Linked DNA regions of Daphnia pulex. The protein of the gene in region 1 purifies or fractionates together with the protein of each later gene. This does not show direct contact. Links are inferred from orthologs where the notes say so. Each region holds a gene or a part of one and is shown on either strand. Other genes may lie near its edges.

Region 1 (7,941 bases):
GAAGTAAATCTGAAATTCAACTTCGGATTTCTTTCTCCCGTTTCACCGAGAAGATCCAAAAACACTTGGGGATGCTCGATGCGCTGGAAACCTATACCACAGCTACGAACTAAATAGTGTCCGGAATTACCGGAAGAGAGACTGCTGGATTGTGTGCGGCAGTTCAAGGAGCAACGGTCAGAGGCTAACCCTCTTTATGCCGCTGATTGGAAATCTTTTTGGAAAAGACATTGATCTCAAGGTACTCAATCGAAAGAATCTTTGTAAAATGACTTCATGCCAGATTGGATTAAGTACTGGAGAAATCGGATGAACGAACTTGACCTAGAAGAGGAAATCAAAACTCAGGAAACCACGCGGTTTAAACGCAACAAACACGAAAGCAATTCATATAACACGTTCACATACATTACTTTCCGTTCAGTTGGACTTTTAATCACCACTTTAAAAACCACTTTTTACGAAACCGACGAACTTAAAAATTATCACAATATAATTTGCAAATTAATAACTGGGAGCCGTGACTGAAACAATAACGAAGCACTAGAGGTACCACCAGTTGCCTTAACTTATCGGTTATCCATATCGATGAAACCTTTAGAATTATTTTTTTATATTATTGAGGCCTATAAAAACATAATGATTTAAGAAATAAGATAACTAGATAACAATACTAGTGACTAGTACTGTAACCTAACATATGTAATCTAACCTATGTAACCTAACACCAGAATAGTAAAATTTATCATAGTTTTGAAATTAAAATATGCACTATCCCAATTCAAGTATTTAATATTTATTAACTTCAACCTTAATCCTAGTAAAACCTCAAACTTTTCCTACGGTATTCCAACGTTCCACCAACTAGGTTGGGCTTACTGATCGCTGATTCTCCCTACAAAATCATTCTTAAAAATAAACGCTTCTTGCCTATTAAAGCTTCTGTTACGCTACATGTTGTTGAATCAGTATTCCAGTTTTAAAGTATGCACTCAACATAAGTGAAGTGCGTATCTTAGGATGTAGAAAAAAGACCAAACTAAAATGAAAAACTTAGTAAAAATGTATTGAAGACTGAGAACCCGATTGAGGGTATGCAGTTGGTGATAGGAGCCGGAGTTTACATTCTAATTAAGATACACGTAGAAAATTGGATGTGAATGAATCTCGAAGAATCACCATCAGTGTAAAATTAGCGAAAATGAAATAAAACCCTAATTGGTATTTTCAAACTTTTTCTCCTTTACTGCTATCGGCGCAAACCGGAACAGGGGAGCTTAATTCATGCGATGTAGATTTATCTTCTTCGGGTTCTGAAAATACATATAATTGGTAAGAAATCTGAGATAACCACGATTACGTGAACACTAACCTTTTATTTCATTCGCCATGGACAAAGCACTACCTTCACTAGAAGATTCACCACTAGACTTCAGTGTTGTCTCATTTTTCTTGTCCGAATCCTTTACAGTCTCTTTTGAAGTACCTTCCTTATTCTCGCCATTCACTTCTTTGTCCTCCTTTTCTTCCTTTTTGACCTCTGCAGCACCCTCAGCTGTTTCGGTTCTTGGTCTTTTGCGATTTGCTCCTTTAAATGATCTATATAGTAGAGAATAATGATTGAAAAAATGAAAAATTGCACGATTTATTAATGAATTCAGACCTTTGATCTCGGCGGGAATCCCCTTCATCTTCGGAATCACTGTATTCATTGTCTGGTGCAATCCTTTTATCTGATGCTCGTATAGATATACGTTCATCGGGATTAGATTTATCTTCTTCGTCGGAATCTTCGTTAATGGCATCCTCGGGAATTGCTGTCAGAATAATTTTGGATCAGTTAAACGCAATGCAATGAAATAATAAATACAATTGAAGAATTAAATTTAATGCAAGTACCTTGCATTTGGACTCCAGGAGCATGAGGTAACATGCGGAGGTTTTCGAAAAGACGAGTTCTAAGAAAAACATGTCACTCAACATATAATTCTTTGAATAAAACACTAAAAACTTACTTGATTTTATCTAAATATTCCGGAGTATTTTGATTTGCCATGTTAGACGGACTAATGTGCAATTTAAAATCGGGACCAAAATATTCAAAATAATCGTTGTAAGGGAGTTCATTTGCAATGTCATTTCCCAGTGCCACTGCGGTCTCGTAAGTCCAACAACGGGCAACATTTCGAATAGTGTAACCACCACCTCCAAGCAGCAGTAAAGGCAGATTATGTTTCTTAACAAAATCAACACATTTTGCGTGACCTAAAGACAACTTGATAATAACATGTATACTAAAAACAATAGTTCCGAACACATACCTTTCAAAGTAAGATTAAAGCATCCCAAACGATCACCAGACAAACTATCGGCACCGCATTGGAGAACCACTGCACTCGGCTGATAAGTTTCCATCACTTTTGACATGATAGGTACGAAGATTTGCTCATAGCTTTCATCATCTATTCCATCTCTCAGGGGGAAATTTACGGCATAATATTTTCCTTTGCCTGCACCAATGTCCTACAACAAAAGGATAAATAACAGTTTCTTATTCAAAATTTAGTTCAAAACTTCTTACTCTGAGATCTCCAGTTCCAGGAAAATATTCTCCATATTTGTGAAATGAAACAGTCATTACACGATCAGTAGTGTAAAAGGCTTCTTCCACTCCATCACCATGATGAATATCAATGTCAATATACAAAACACGTTGGTGGTATTTCAGAAGCTCTAAAATTGCCAACACTATGTCATTTACCTAAAATATGGAAAGAGATGAACATTAGTTAGTAAGTTATATCCAAAAACTGTTATTAAGTTATTCATTTACATAGCAGAATCCTGATGCCTCAGACTTTTTGGCATGATGTAATCCCCCAGCCCAGTTCACAGCTATCTCAGTTGCTTGCTTGTTGAGCTTCACAGCTCCAGCTACAGAACCTCCAGCAGATAATTGACAAAATTCGTAGAGCCCATCAAAAACAGGACAGTCTTCACCCACATTAACTAAAAAACAAACAAATAAATTAATTCACAATTTCAAATTGATCAAATTGTAAACACATCTTACATCTCTGCATCTGTTTATTGTATTCTGTCATATTGTCAGGTCTGATGCTTCGAAGAAATCGAATGTAATCATCACTGTGGAACTTGGTCATTTCTTCAGCTGTGGCTTTGTGTGGTCGCTAACAAAAAATAAATTCAATTAAACTGTGGCAATTATCATCTAGCTTCTTGAATTTTTACATAGATTTCCATTTTACGGTATAGCCCATAATTCAAGAGCAAGTTGTGGGTCATGCGTATGCGATGAGGTTTCATGGGATGTCCCTTCAATTTCAAAAATTTATTATTAATTACAGTTTCATTAACATAAATGTGTTCAATATTATTACCTGTCCATAATAAAAATTCCCGATGTCACCTAGGTTAATAAAAAAAGGAATTACAAATTTAAGAGTTAAAATGAAAAGTCACCATAAAAATGCCAACCCACCCACCAAGTAGGACGTCAATTATACCCCCGACAACCTCATCGACAAATTTGACATGAAAATCTTAATAAAATTTTGAAGCAATTCAAAAATAAAACCCAATTTAAATGATAATATAGCCACATATCTTTCTTTTTTAATACTATGTGCTCTTCAGTCTTCAAACATCTATAATTCTTTGTGATACTACTGTGCATAAATGACGTCCCACTTGCCAAATATTGTTACTTCCACATAAATTTTGTACATCAAAATGTCACAATAGATAGGTATATAAATTTAGCAAAAATCAAGTATCTTTGGGAATTTATAAAATAAATAGAATATGACCACTGAAATAATTAATTTAAAAAAGGACGCCGGCAGTCAAACACGCGACATGAAACGTTAATTATACATGATACAATTATTTTTCTAACTTACTGTCATAATAGTAGCAAACTCGCTTTCTGCTGTGACTTGGTTGAGTAGTCATTTTCGAAATTGAAAATCACAATTCTTTATTAAAATTATTTTTACTTTTCGACAGTTACACTGAAAAGAAAAGACACCAGCATCAATTGCTTTCGCTGCGTCGAATGCGAATGCTTACATTTACAGTGTTGCCAAATCTACAAACTAACTACGATAGCCCAAAGCCTCAAACGCGAATTTGAGGAAACATATTTGCCAGCTCTCAAAAAATCTCGAATCTCCTTCGATTCGAGTCGAGTCCTTACAAAACTATAAAAATGATGATAATAAGTGGAGGCAGAGTAATGGATAATTATCTGTTGCCCTGGTGGAGGAGTCAAGGTAAAGTATCACGTCAAACTAATTGCAAGAAGCAATTTTTCCATGAATGTTGTTGATAGGATTGAATATGTAATAATCAGTTTTCAGAAGTCGGAACCCTTCTGGGAAACATAATGTTTAATAAATATATTGGAATTTGATTTTTTTGGAAAACCCACACGAAACAAGTGATTTTCAAAATGAAAAAATTACGCAGTTATATTTTTTAAATCTTATATTATCAATTTCCAAATACGAAGGTATTTGAAATAAACATATTCTAGTAAATAATAAATTTAGAAATTAGGGATTAGGTTAGGGACTAAGGAGTATGGAACTAGAAACCAGAGCCATTAAGCTGGAGATCTAACGATCTATCAACTCCGTTAGACGTTTTCAGAGATAAGGAGATGGGCTCGCCGGAAGGAGCAGCGCAGTCGAATTCGTCTTCCGAGAAGGGGCAGGGGGAAAAATGTCGAAATCTTCGTTTTGGTTTCTTTTCTAAATAAGATTTGAAAAAGCCACCAGTCTTAGGTTGCGCCAAGCGGACAAAAAATAAAAATAAAAATTTTTGGCTGATGTAGGCTATTACAGATGTTATTCTTTCCTGGTCGGTCTGAAAAGAGCTGAATCTCTTTCCAGTCATCGATGGACGGGAAGATATAAAAAAATCTAGAAGAAGAAGAGAAAGAGGCAGATGACAGTTTACTTTTAGTCGCTAGAGCCTAGATGCCAGTTTCAACGCGCGCAGTTAAAATTGGTGAAATTCGACCGACCCACCATCTACTGTCGAAAAAGTAATCGAAGCCATCTATTGGCGAAATTGGAACTAATCCTCCCGTATGCCAAAAAACCTGTAGGGGAGACCGGACCCCTCTTGGACAGTCGCGGTTTTTCCCGCATATCTCCCGATCCCCTTAGGCAAAAGAATTTTTTTTTGGCTAAGGTCATTTTTTAGCCTTGCCTCCACCCCCTTGATTTTTTTAAAATGTGTAACTTTAAAATTTAAGAATTTACATTGATTTCCATTTTTCGGTGTTTTTTACCGAGCCGGGGTGAAATTAGACAGGGGCCTGTACCAAGTTAGACGGGGTTCGAAAAGGTGGAAATTAATGTCTTTAAATTATTTTAAAAACCTTGTATGATAGTTCTTCCAATAATAAATAATTTAAAAACATTTGTTTAAAAATTTTTTTACTCAAACAAACTTGGAGCAAGATCAATAATTCGGGCGAAAAATTTTGCAATAATTTATCGTGTTTTTTCTTCCTCCTATAACTCCCGTTCTACTCTCGGGAAATTAATTAAACTACACAGGATCTAGCATCATCACATCTAGAACAATGTGAAATCTAGAATTTTAAAGCAATTTTTACTATATTTTAAGACACTGTCCAACTTGGAACAGTGTCCAACATGGGTCCGGTCTCCCCTACAGAATCCCTACGGGAAATTCGTCTGTTTGGCTGCGTCCTGGTAAGTGTTGTCCCCCTATACCCTAACCACGGGCCTGCTGAGACCAACCACGCACCTACTTCTGTCATGCTTCTGCTCCCCCAAAAAACCCGTCGCCCCAGCATCATACGGGCCTCATGGGACTACGCGTTTCTTTATTTTATTGTTGCATGAAAGACATTTGTATTGATTCAAAGTCAATCCGCTTTTGAATCAATTCCTACATTTCAGCGGTCATTTCAAGTCGTTTCCCCACCCCTTCGAATCCAAAACCGATCCAAGGGGAGGGTTCCCCTCTAGTCTTTGTTCGAAATCCCCTTGCGGTGGTTTTTCTCGACAAGGGGAAACGGATTTTGAAGGGGTCGGTTTGCCAGATGATGCCCAATTATTATGACTTATTTAATTTAAGTTATTGTAGAAAAAGGACAGATATTTGACTTAAGAAAAACAAGAAAATTAAAATCGTATCACTAAGAAGTGTTCTAGTAGAAGTTAACACACGCCCAAACAAAGAAAAAAATCTTTCCGTTACAGCGTAAGATGCAATGCTATCATTAAATTTCCAAAACAAGTTTTTTATATTTTGGAAGTAATCAAGAAAAGATTGTATATTGGCTTAGCTTCAAGAAACCGAGTGAGCTCAACCTTCTTTTTGTTGGAAAATAGAATTCCCCTTGCTATTTTACATTAACCCAGAATAAATATCAGTAGGGTCATCAGGGGTTGTTGCCTTAGTAGAATCAGAGACGTCTAAATATGTTAGATGGATTTCAATCTTGCTGATGATTTGTTTCTTCAGTTTGGTATCTTTTTCGCTTGTCCCTAACCAAATCAATTTAAATTTTGGGTGTAGTGAGCCGACAACTGAAAATTCTCTTGCCTAAGAAAGATGTCAAATCTTTTTTTCAATCTTTCTAACAAGGCATCAACTAATGGGAGTGAAATACTAATAGGGGGATGGCTAGAGTTTTCATCTCGATTCTTGAGATTATTCAAACTATTCCCAATATCTACTATGGAAGGTAGTAGGTTTCCGGAAGTAACATCCTTCTCTCCCTGTAGAATGTCCAATCCAAATGCAATGGGCTGCATCACAGTAACATAATCATTAATGAATAAAGTAATCTGTAGCTGTCAGGCAGGGAACTTTCAAGTAGTCACAACTTTCAAGTCTTTTTTTTTCCATTTTTTGGCAATCTTATTTACGTGGCGAACAGCATCATACCATGCATTCCATCGTGTAGCATTGGGTATTATAAACAATACGCCTAAAGAAAAAATGAGATTCTCACAATTAAAATACAGCCTCGAGTCTCAATAAATCAATGTATTGTTGTACAAATCTATTCAGCCTCCAGTTCACACTCTCTATCATCACCTATATTTTTTGTATACCTAGTTGTGTTCATTTTTGTATACATATAAGCGCATTCAGTTAAGAGCTTGGCCGTATAAATCTCAGAATTGTCATGTGCGTGCCATAGTATTTGAAGCTTACGTTTCAGTATTTTGTATGTTTTTCTTTCTCTCCTTATTCCTTTCTTACATTATGCATCAGCTTTATTTCATTTTTTTTCAACCTGCAGTGCCGCACAGAATATAGAACTGCTGTAGTAGCAGTAGCATAAATGCTAATACATTTTATCACTTCTAGTCAAATCAGCAACTAGAGATTTAAAAAAGCTTCTTCTCCTTACTCACAATTCTATTCAAGTTTCACTAATTGTAGGAAAATCAAATCAATCAAATTGTAGCTAATTGAGTAAAATCATTACAGAATACGGTTCAAATCTGATTGGTTTGAAGGATCCAAGAAAACGGTGCCGAAACGGGAAGATTTAGATCCGAAACGGATACTATTGGAGTTAACAGGGGCCGAAACGGGCAAAATAAAAGTGCCGAAAAAAGTGCCGAAATGTCCGACATCAAAAAATTTTGGCATTATGAGAAATCTCTCGCTGTTCATTTACAGCAAACCAGAAGTCAGCGTGTAATTCCTATCTAAGAAAGAAAATAGACAAATTAATACGTTCTATTCTCTATACAAAAGTCACGAAAATTACTTTCTTCCGTCATATGCTTTACTTTATTTCCATATCGGGATACCGTACCATTACCTTGTTCCATCTCTTCTCCAATAGTTGCCCCAACACCTTCTCTGGCGTGACCAATATTCTGCATCTAACATGAATTGGTAAAATAATAAATTTTA
Region 2 (8,159 bases), on another chromosome or scaffold:
ACATAACACACTACTTCGTATAGAGCTGCACGCAAACACCCGAAAGAAAAAACTTTTTTACGACCAAGTCACGTCGGTTCATAATTCACGGCTCTCACTTGGCGGCAAGCAAATAAGCGCAGCCCAACCAGCGTGATGATAGCGAACCATTTTTGTTTGAGGTTGCTTTATAGTAGTGCTCCCATATTCTTCTTTTTAGGATGTTTGATGTTCCTCGACTGTGTTATATACACATTTGATGCTACCACTACCTGGCGGCGCGCGGGTTATATTATATTATTCACAGTCAGGTATAGACTGGGCTATACTCGGGATCGACGTCAAACAGGGCAGATGGTATGGCCCTATTGAGGCTAGTTGAATGGCCGGTCGAGAACACTGAGAGAGAGAGAGAGAGTCTTAGTCCATAAAGAGAGCAGTCGTTTTGACTCTTGACGCGCGAGCGGGCACTTTAAATCTATTGAATTCAAAAATGGAAATGCTTTTTTTTTTTCTTTTTTAAAGCTTCCCTTTTTATTGTATTTAGACATTGAAGCCATTTTGTTTTCTCGGCTGTTTAGGCTCGAGGTTACAAACAACCCAAAAAAAAAAGAAATAGATTTACGAGGGTTGTAACACCTGCTGATTGATCTGCCGCCACATGTCCAGGTGGTCGACTCAGCGTGTATAGTAAAAAAAAAAAAGTAGATTGCTCGCAGTACTCTGTTGCAGTCCGCTTCTATTGTCTTTATTCTCAACCAAATCGAATTTTTCCTTGGTAATATCTAAATTCGTAGAACTGCTCGACCTACAATGTAATTGAAGCTGGCTGGAGCCTTGAGGTGTTTTATAACAGATCGAAAATCTCTTCCTGCTGCTGCTGTGTATCAATCGCCGCTCACCATTTAAAAGGCCCGCAGCATTATCTAGGAGAAAAAAAAGAGCTTTAGCCCATCATAATCATAATAACGGAGCGATAGAATATGTATAGTAAGGGGAGGATTGCTGTTGACTGGGGCTCGTGCGACCGTTATAACCATATCACCAAGGGCCCAGGGTATATGTACATCAACGGTTCCCTTTTTTTCATCCCCCTGGCCGAGGACAATCGACACAGCAGCAGCAGCCCTACGATATTGGCACACCTGCCCTTTTCTTCATAGGCCTACCGTGTGTACATACAAGAGTCCATCTGGTTTTCCGATGATATATAGAGACGTAAAGGGACGACAACCACCGGCCCATCATCAGATCATCAGCACCCCAATGTCTGTTGTGTGTGTGGACATGGAGGGCCAGCAGAATATACGTGCCACACACTCGTTTGTTCAAACCATCTTTTGTAAAAGAGGGGGGGAACTAAAAAATTTGTGAAATCATCTGCTCCTCTTTTTGTGGCGCGAGAAATTCCAGGAGAATTCGGAAAAAAAAATATCCAGGAAAGGTTTTTATTTTCCGTGAGAGCTTGTAACATACAAGATTTTCAAGGAAAAGGTTATTTAAGGAAAAAGAACGGGACCGCTTTGGTTTGTTATAAGAGATGTTTTTTTTTTATGATGAATTGAGCCCGTGATTGGGTCCCATTGTTACTCTGACGTCATCTACGGATTTCTTGGTCGTTTTTAGTCCCTTCATCTTTTTCTTCTCAGACGGCCTTTAGGGAAGCCGCTTATGACTCGTTATTTTTCATCTTCCACAGTATTATATTTACCTGTCTAAAAAAAAGTCTCGCAGGTGAAAGCCGGCGTGACGATCTTATCGATCTTCTTCTTCCCCCCTCCAACGAATAAAACAAAAATCGAACAAAAATATGAATTGTTTTCTCTCTTGTTGTTGCAGGAACATTTCTGATATCGATCAAGTCGGGACGGGACGGGCGGAGTGGTTCGTGCATGTGTTCTTATTATATTGAATATATGGAAAGTAGAGAATAATCCAGGTGAGCGCCGACAGAGAGAAAGGTGGGCCATATTGGATAGCAGCATTTGGCATTCAGCACAGTTTTTTATTTTTTCAACGGGGCTCGGTCGACACAAAGGCTTAGGTGGTACTTGCTGTTCTTTTTTACCTATGACGCAATTACGTGAATCGTAAAAAAAAAGAACAGATAAAACGAGGTCGCCTTTCACCTCTATTGAAATTGCACGCGTCTTTGACAGATTGGAACAAACGAAATTCAATAGAAAAAAACCTTTTGGTCGATGGATTGCCAATTGTATGTACACCTTCAGAGACCAGTCCCGGAGCAGCAAGTTTTTCTTTTATCTGATAAAACCTGGACAAGAAAAGAAAGAAATAAAATGTATAAACGTGTTGATAATCAAACAACATAGTCTTGATTGTCTACTGAACTTTTGCTGCTGCTGTTATATGTACCAATGAATTTTCTGGGCGCGGTATTGTGTGTATCAACTACTATCAGCTTTGAGGGTTTTCGAGTTGTTCTCTTGTGTGTATGTGGAAATAATATCCTGTGTCCCGGAGACCGTTGACCTACAGCGGAGAAACACGTCGTGACACGTGCACCCGCCCTCGTAACAAGAAGAGAGAGAGAAAGAAACAAGATTTTATTTTTTTTTCAAACTTGCCACATGTTTCTTTTTATGTTTTTTGAAAGTCCGACTTGTTGTTTATTAGATTAAAAACGTTTCAGTCGTGAAGAAGAAGAAGAAGCGACCTCCAACATTTTTATTTCGTTTCCAGACGAGAGAATCCCATTTTGAAAATCAAAAGAGGATTTCAAGCTAGACAACGCGGTGACATTTGATGTAAATAACAATATAACCTTGGCAACTTGTACTATTCTAGCCAACTATCGTTTCGAAATTATTATCATCGTCATTTGTTAAAATCATGTGTGTGACAGTTTCTAAATCGTTCGAATTTCAGAAGACCCTGGCTGGCTGAAGTTTTAATCCGTCGCTTAATTACCCCACATTCAATCGAAATTAATTGTTTGATGTTATAAGAAGAGAGAGGAGGGGGCGAAAGGTCCTTGACGTAAGCAACTTTAAAAGCAACTAGAAGTTTCCCGTTGAGTACACTCACGTCGACGATATTTTACCAACAGACTACTTTTCCGCGACATCATTACAGGATTATCATTCTTTTCATAAACAATCGACAGTTAAATTATTTCCAATGTAAACCCAATTGAAATACATAATCATTAATCAATTAAAGTTGATGTCTTTCATTTTTTCCAGTCGGTTGTGCATCGATTGGTACGTAGGACGAAATTAGGAAGACTCGGTTGTAGTTTTTGATAGTACGCCTCCGGGTTCAGTTGGGAGGTGGGGAAAAGCCCAACGCAAGCGCCCTCTCCGGCTAGTTGAGTGTAACGCAAGTCGCGCATCTGTTGTTGTGTGTTTGTTGTGCGTTAGTGTTTTCTGTGTCTCGGGAAAAAAAAAAGTAAAAAGAAATAAAAAAAGAGACAAAACGTACCCGTGGATAAGAGACAGAGAGACAAAAAAGACACAACTGTCATTACCCCTCCCCTGTTTGTGTTAATAAGGAATTTTGCTCGCCTCGCCTCTTCTTCGACGTCATATTCGTGGTCGGATTTTATTGTAACAATCATTCGCCTCACAACATTTCTCAAAACTGGATTCCAAAATGGAGCTGTCGAATGTTGGAGACAGGGTGTTCGCCGCCGAACGCATTCTTAAAAAAAGAAGTCGAAGGGCAAGTCTAGTTTTTGGCTCATAATTTTCCTTTCAAATGTTGAGACTGTCAGCGATGCTGGTTCACTCTGGCATGGCTGTCACAGTTGTGTGCAGGCTTGTTTATTTTGCTTTCATTTCGATTATAGGGACACCCCGAGTACCTGGTAAAGTGGAAAGGCTGGAGTAATAAGTGAGTCTTACAGTTTTGACATGATTGATTAATCTGACATTATACTAATCACACGATTGTTTGCAGACACAACACATGGGAACCTGAAGAAAACATACTTGATGGGCGTCTACTGGAAGCCTTTGAGAGGTATGTTTTGATTCTCCAACGTATCTGCATGTGATTTTGGGTGATGTCACTCTGGTTATGCAACTTTGTGGCGCATACCAGTTTTCAAAATGCTCGACAACATCAGAGAGTTGACATAAATGGCATTGTGTCCTTGTCAAATGTCACATGTGAGAGCAGGAAGTGCAAGTGACAGGTTCCCAAAGTGAATGTATCATTAACAGCAATCCAATCATTTCAACTTTTTTGTTTCTTTTTTATCTTTCAAGACGGGAAAGAGAAGCTGCCACCTTCAAAAGAGGGCCAAAGAAAAAGACTGATCAACTACAGCAGCAATCGAGCAGTGGTGGGAGGTCGACACGTGATAGGAGGCTGAGTACATCGTCGTCATCAGAAGGCGATTCAGACGACGGTGAATCCGGCTCGAGCAGCAGTTCTAGCAGCAGCAGTAGTAGCGACGAAGAAACTGAAAAGGAACCCGTTACTACTACTGCTCCTCCTGCTGCAGCTCCACCACCACCACCACCTATCACAGCTAAAGAACCTGAGAAAAAAGTGATAGAAAAACCGTTGTCATCTCCTCCGAGTTGTCGAGCGGCAGCCACAGCTGCTGGTCCTAAAATCGCTTCGGCATTCAGAGCTGACCGGTCCATCAGTGCGTCGCAAACCTCGTCGAACGACTCGAAAAACAACAAATCTGATTTGGCCAAAGAGAAGAAGAAGGACAAGGAGAAGGAAAAAGAGAAAGAAAAGGATAAGGATAAAGAGAAGGACTCTGCTGGCACTAAGCGAAAAGCTGAGGTCCTTAGTGACAACGGCCGAGTCGGTGTCACCATCTCCACCACGTCACTGGACCGGTCGAGAAGTCCGCGAAGCCCCAGTGGACACAACGGCAGCAGTCCGCTGTCTCCTACAGCCAAAGTTCCTCGATTGGCACCCACTACACCTACACGTCCATCTCCGCCTACAGATCCAGCAGCAGCAGCAACAACCACCACCACGCTGACTGCCGTCGTAGGAAACCCCACTGCAATTACCAAAGAGCCTCACGTCACACTGTCCATTTCGTTGTCACCCAATGGAGAAGCAGTGGCTCGCCCAGGATTAGACTGGCGGGAGAGATCGAATCAACAACAACACAACAACTCATCTCCACAACAACCCACGCCACAGCGGTCACTGTCGCAAGATGAACAATCGGCTAAAATAGCTCTCTTGTCATTGCAACGTGGCGCTAATAAATATTCGCCCAGTTCGCCAGCCAGTAGATCCAGTTCTCCTACCAGACCGGCACCGGTTCTTTCACCTGCTCTGCCGGGCGAATCTGCACATCCGCCCAGTAGCAGTGGAAGTCTCAATTCCTCCAAACGGTCTGAACAGAACAACACGGGTGGAAGTTTATCGGATCAGGAGAATGTCAATCTGAACGGACACGGACCAAACGGTCGCAAATTGACTTCAGCTCCTTCTTCGACCGATCACCTCCTGACACCCAGTTTGGACTATTGGCATCGCAAGAATCCTTTGGTCGACCAGATCTTCATCACGGACGTCACGGTCAACATGATGACCGTCACCATTCGTGAATGCAAAACAGTGTCGGGGTTTTTCCGTCATCGGCCAAACGGCGCTGCCAGTAGCAGTGCAGAAAATGGCAACACCACCGACTCTGCAGAGGCTGACGGTAAATAAAAAGAAATTTACAATCTCTCCTTATTTTGAATCGCGAGTTGTGTGTTACGACGTAACTGAAAAGAAAATTGTGAGATTCCAATATTGATTTACAAATTAATTTTTTTTCTTTTGCGATTTAGTATGTTTTTCTCCTAATTATGGTTATTGAAAATATCCGTTGAGTTACTAAAGAAAATGAAGGAAGCAAACAATGACTGTTGAATCATGAATCCCCCCACCCAAATTTTCTTTTGCAAACCGTGTTGTTCCGGTATACTTGTAGATTTTTTCCATATTTTTTTTATAAATTAATTTTGTAAAATTGCATTGACCAACAACAAGGCAAACAAAAAGGAAATTTTAATTAATTTTTTTTTTTCGAACAAATTGCCAAAATCGGGGCATTGATTTGGATATGAGCGCGTAAATTTGTATGTGTACATTTATATACATATAGTCTATATTTTTCTTTTTGTATCAACCTCTCATGAAATTGATCCCAACTGGAGGATTTTTGTTCTTCTTTCCTGTGCGCTTGACCTTAAAATATCCCGCTGTTTTTTCTTTCCCACCTCCGTTTTTGTGTCTTGTGTTTGAAGGCTGTGTTACATTTTAAATTAATTTTTTTTTCTCACTTTTTGTCCTTTTTCCCTCCACCAAAAATTGGATCTTATGTTTAGTTTTTTCCTCCTCTTACCCAGCTATATAAATTTCTCACAATGAAATATTTTTTCTTCTTCTCGAGGAGGGTGAATAAAGTCAAATTTGTACAAAGGCAGAAACAAAATGTGTCTTTTTTCGCTCTCTTAAGCATTTTCTTACGTATGTGTCTATCTCTTGGCTATTGTGAAATAACCACGATTCCTTGTGATTGGGTCTGCAAAGAAACACTGGAAGAATAATAAAAAAAGGGCAGGAATATTATTACAAAATAAGGAAGCATTTTTTATTATTTTTATGTTCTCATGATTACGTTTATATGATAAGGGGGAACAACATTTTTTGATCAACTTGTAAACGTCAAAGAGCACCCCCCATTTTAATTTTTGTTTTCCCCAAAAAATATTTTGTTCCAGCATCGAAAGAAAAACGTGTACAGCAGCAGGTATGAAAGGTTAGGATGCAGCTCCGGGGTTTGTCACTTTTATTTGATTGACAAACGCATTGGACCGTAAATCAACTACACCCGGATCGAATCAACTTTACCCCCTAATAAAACCCAAATATTTCTATAAATTTTGTATTTTTTTAGTCTACAATTTTTTTCTGTTTCTTTCCTTGTTACAGTTTCAACACGCCTATTAAAACGGAGAGTCAGGCGATCTAATTATTAGATATGTTCCAGTCAATTCCGACCACCTTTGTTTCCAGGGAAATGGAGATGGATAAGAAGCCCCAGAAAGGGAGGGGGTCAGATGGGGGGCTCGAAAAGGGCCGTTTAAAATGTAGGTGAGTTTCTTTTCCAGGGGGGAAGAGGAGCCCTAGCTTACCATCTGTCTTCTTCTTTTGTTTGCCTATTCCTAGGACACATCTTTATGCGTCTCTACAGTTATAAAATAAGAAGGAAAAAAAATTTAGATTCTTCTACTTGATTATTAACAAACAAGTACACACACCCAAAACTTCCGGCGAGATCTTGTTCTCATTTGAATTTTCCATCAGACATCCGTTTCTCGTGTCTTTAGAAAAGATCTGGGAGGTGCTGAATCGGGGGCACGCGCCCAGTTCAGAAATCCGAGATGGAAGAAAGAAAAAAAAAATGTTTTGCGGCAGCAGCTGTGAATATTGGTAGGACTTGTGTGTGTGTGTGTAGACACAGTCAACACACAAAGATCCCCTGTGCAGTTGGCATAATAGGGAGAAAAAGCTTCCAGTGAGAGAGAGGGGGTTCCTGCTGGGGTGCTACCATCCTTTTCTTATAGTAACCTTCTTCTTCCTCGTCTGTATAATCATGTACACACAAGATGGGGGTCACAAAAGTGACACAAAGAGAACGACCCTTTTTTCTTCTTCTTCTACATCTCCCAGATATATATATAACATAAATTTCCCCTTCACCGTTTTCTTCTTGATTGTTATATTGGCACCGTGTCGCCATTTTAGCCCTGCCCGAATTATAGCTGATCTATCTAACCAAAAAACCAGATGGCTGTTTCACGTTTGTTTTCTCGCCGTGTGTGTCATTCCCCTCCTTTCAAAGCGTTGTTACAGCCAGCCATCTGCTCCCTCCGTTTCATTGATCTTGCAAGATTGAAATAATTTAAGCGAAAAGCAGTTTTTGTGTGTGTGCTCGCCTAGGCTCTGACGTCACATCCCCTTAAATAATAGAAGAATAAAAAAAAAAGGGAAGGCGGTGTCTCGTCGTCGTCGACAAGATTAGAACGTACACACATAAACCCTGAAAAACAGAAATCGAACTAAACAATATATATAAACACACACACAGCAACAATAAGGCGAAAATAGAAAGCGCTGGCTGGCTGGCTCTCAACGTTATATACCTACAATTAGCATTAAAGACATAAGAGAGTGGAGAGCGTTGC

The links.
Region 2: the proteins of histone deacetylase 1-like (region 1) and chromobox protein homolog 8-like purify together in Drosophila melanogaster (affinity purification with western blotting; 3 studies listed by BioGRID, with this or other methods). This does not show direct contact. The link is inferred for Daphnia pulex from reciprocal best matches to the Drosophila melanogaster genes HDAC1 and Pc.

Annotation. Positions count from the first base shown.
Region 1 is NC_060024.1:1,147,182-1,155,122, reverse strand, and holds histone deacetylase 1-like, read right to left. Parts: upstream 4,116-7,941; 5' UTR 3,976-4,115; coding exon 3,924-3,975; intron 3,431-3,923; coding exon 3,402-3,430; intron 3,337-3,401; coding exon 3,253-3,336; intron 3,192-3,252; coding exon 3,074-3,191; intron 3,010-3,073; coding exon 2,834-3,009; intron 2,762-2,833; coding exon 2,582-2,761; intron 2,524-2,581; coding exon 2,322-2,523; intron 2,266-2,321; coding exon 2,016-2,265; intron 1,959-2,015; coding exon 1,900-1,958; intron 1,818-1,899; coding exon 1,664-1,817; intron 1,600-1,663; coding exon 1,373-1,599; intron 1,314-1,372; coding exon 1,228-1,313; 3' UTR 1,046-1,227; downstream 1-1,045. UniProt on the Drosophila melanogaster protein: Catalyzes the deacetylation of lysine residues on the N-terminal part of the core histones (H2A, H2B, H3 and H4).
Region 2 is NC_060023.1:9,223,954-9,232,112, reverse strand, and holds chromobox protein homolog 8-like, read left to right. Parts: upstream 1-3,251; 5' UTR 3,252-3,594; coding exon 3,595-3,663; intron 3,664-3,790; coding exon 3,791-3,834; intron 3,835-3,900; coding exon 3,901-3,963; intron 3,964-4,211; coding exon 4,212-5,634; 3' UTR 5,635-6,394; downstream 6,395-8,159.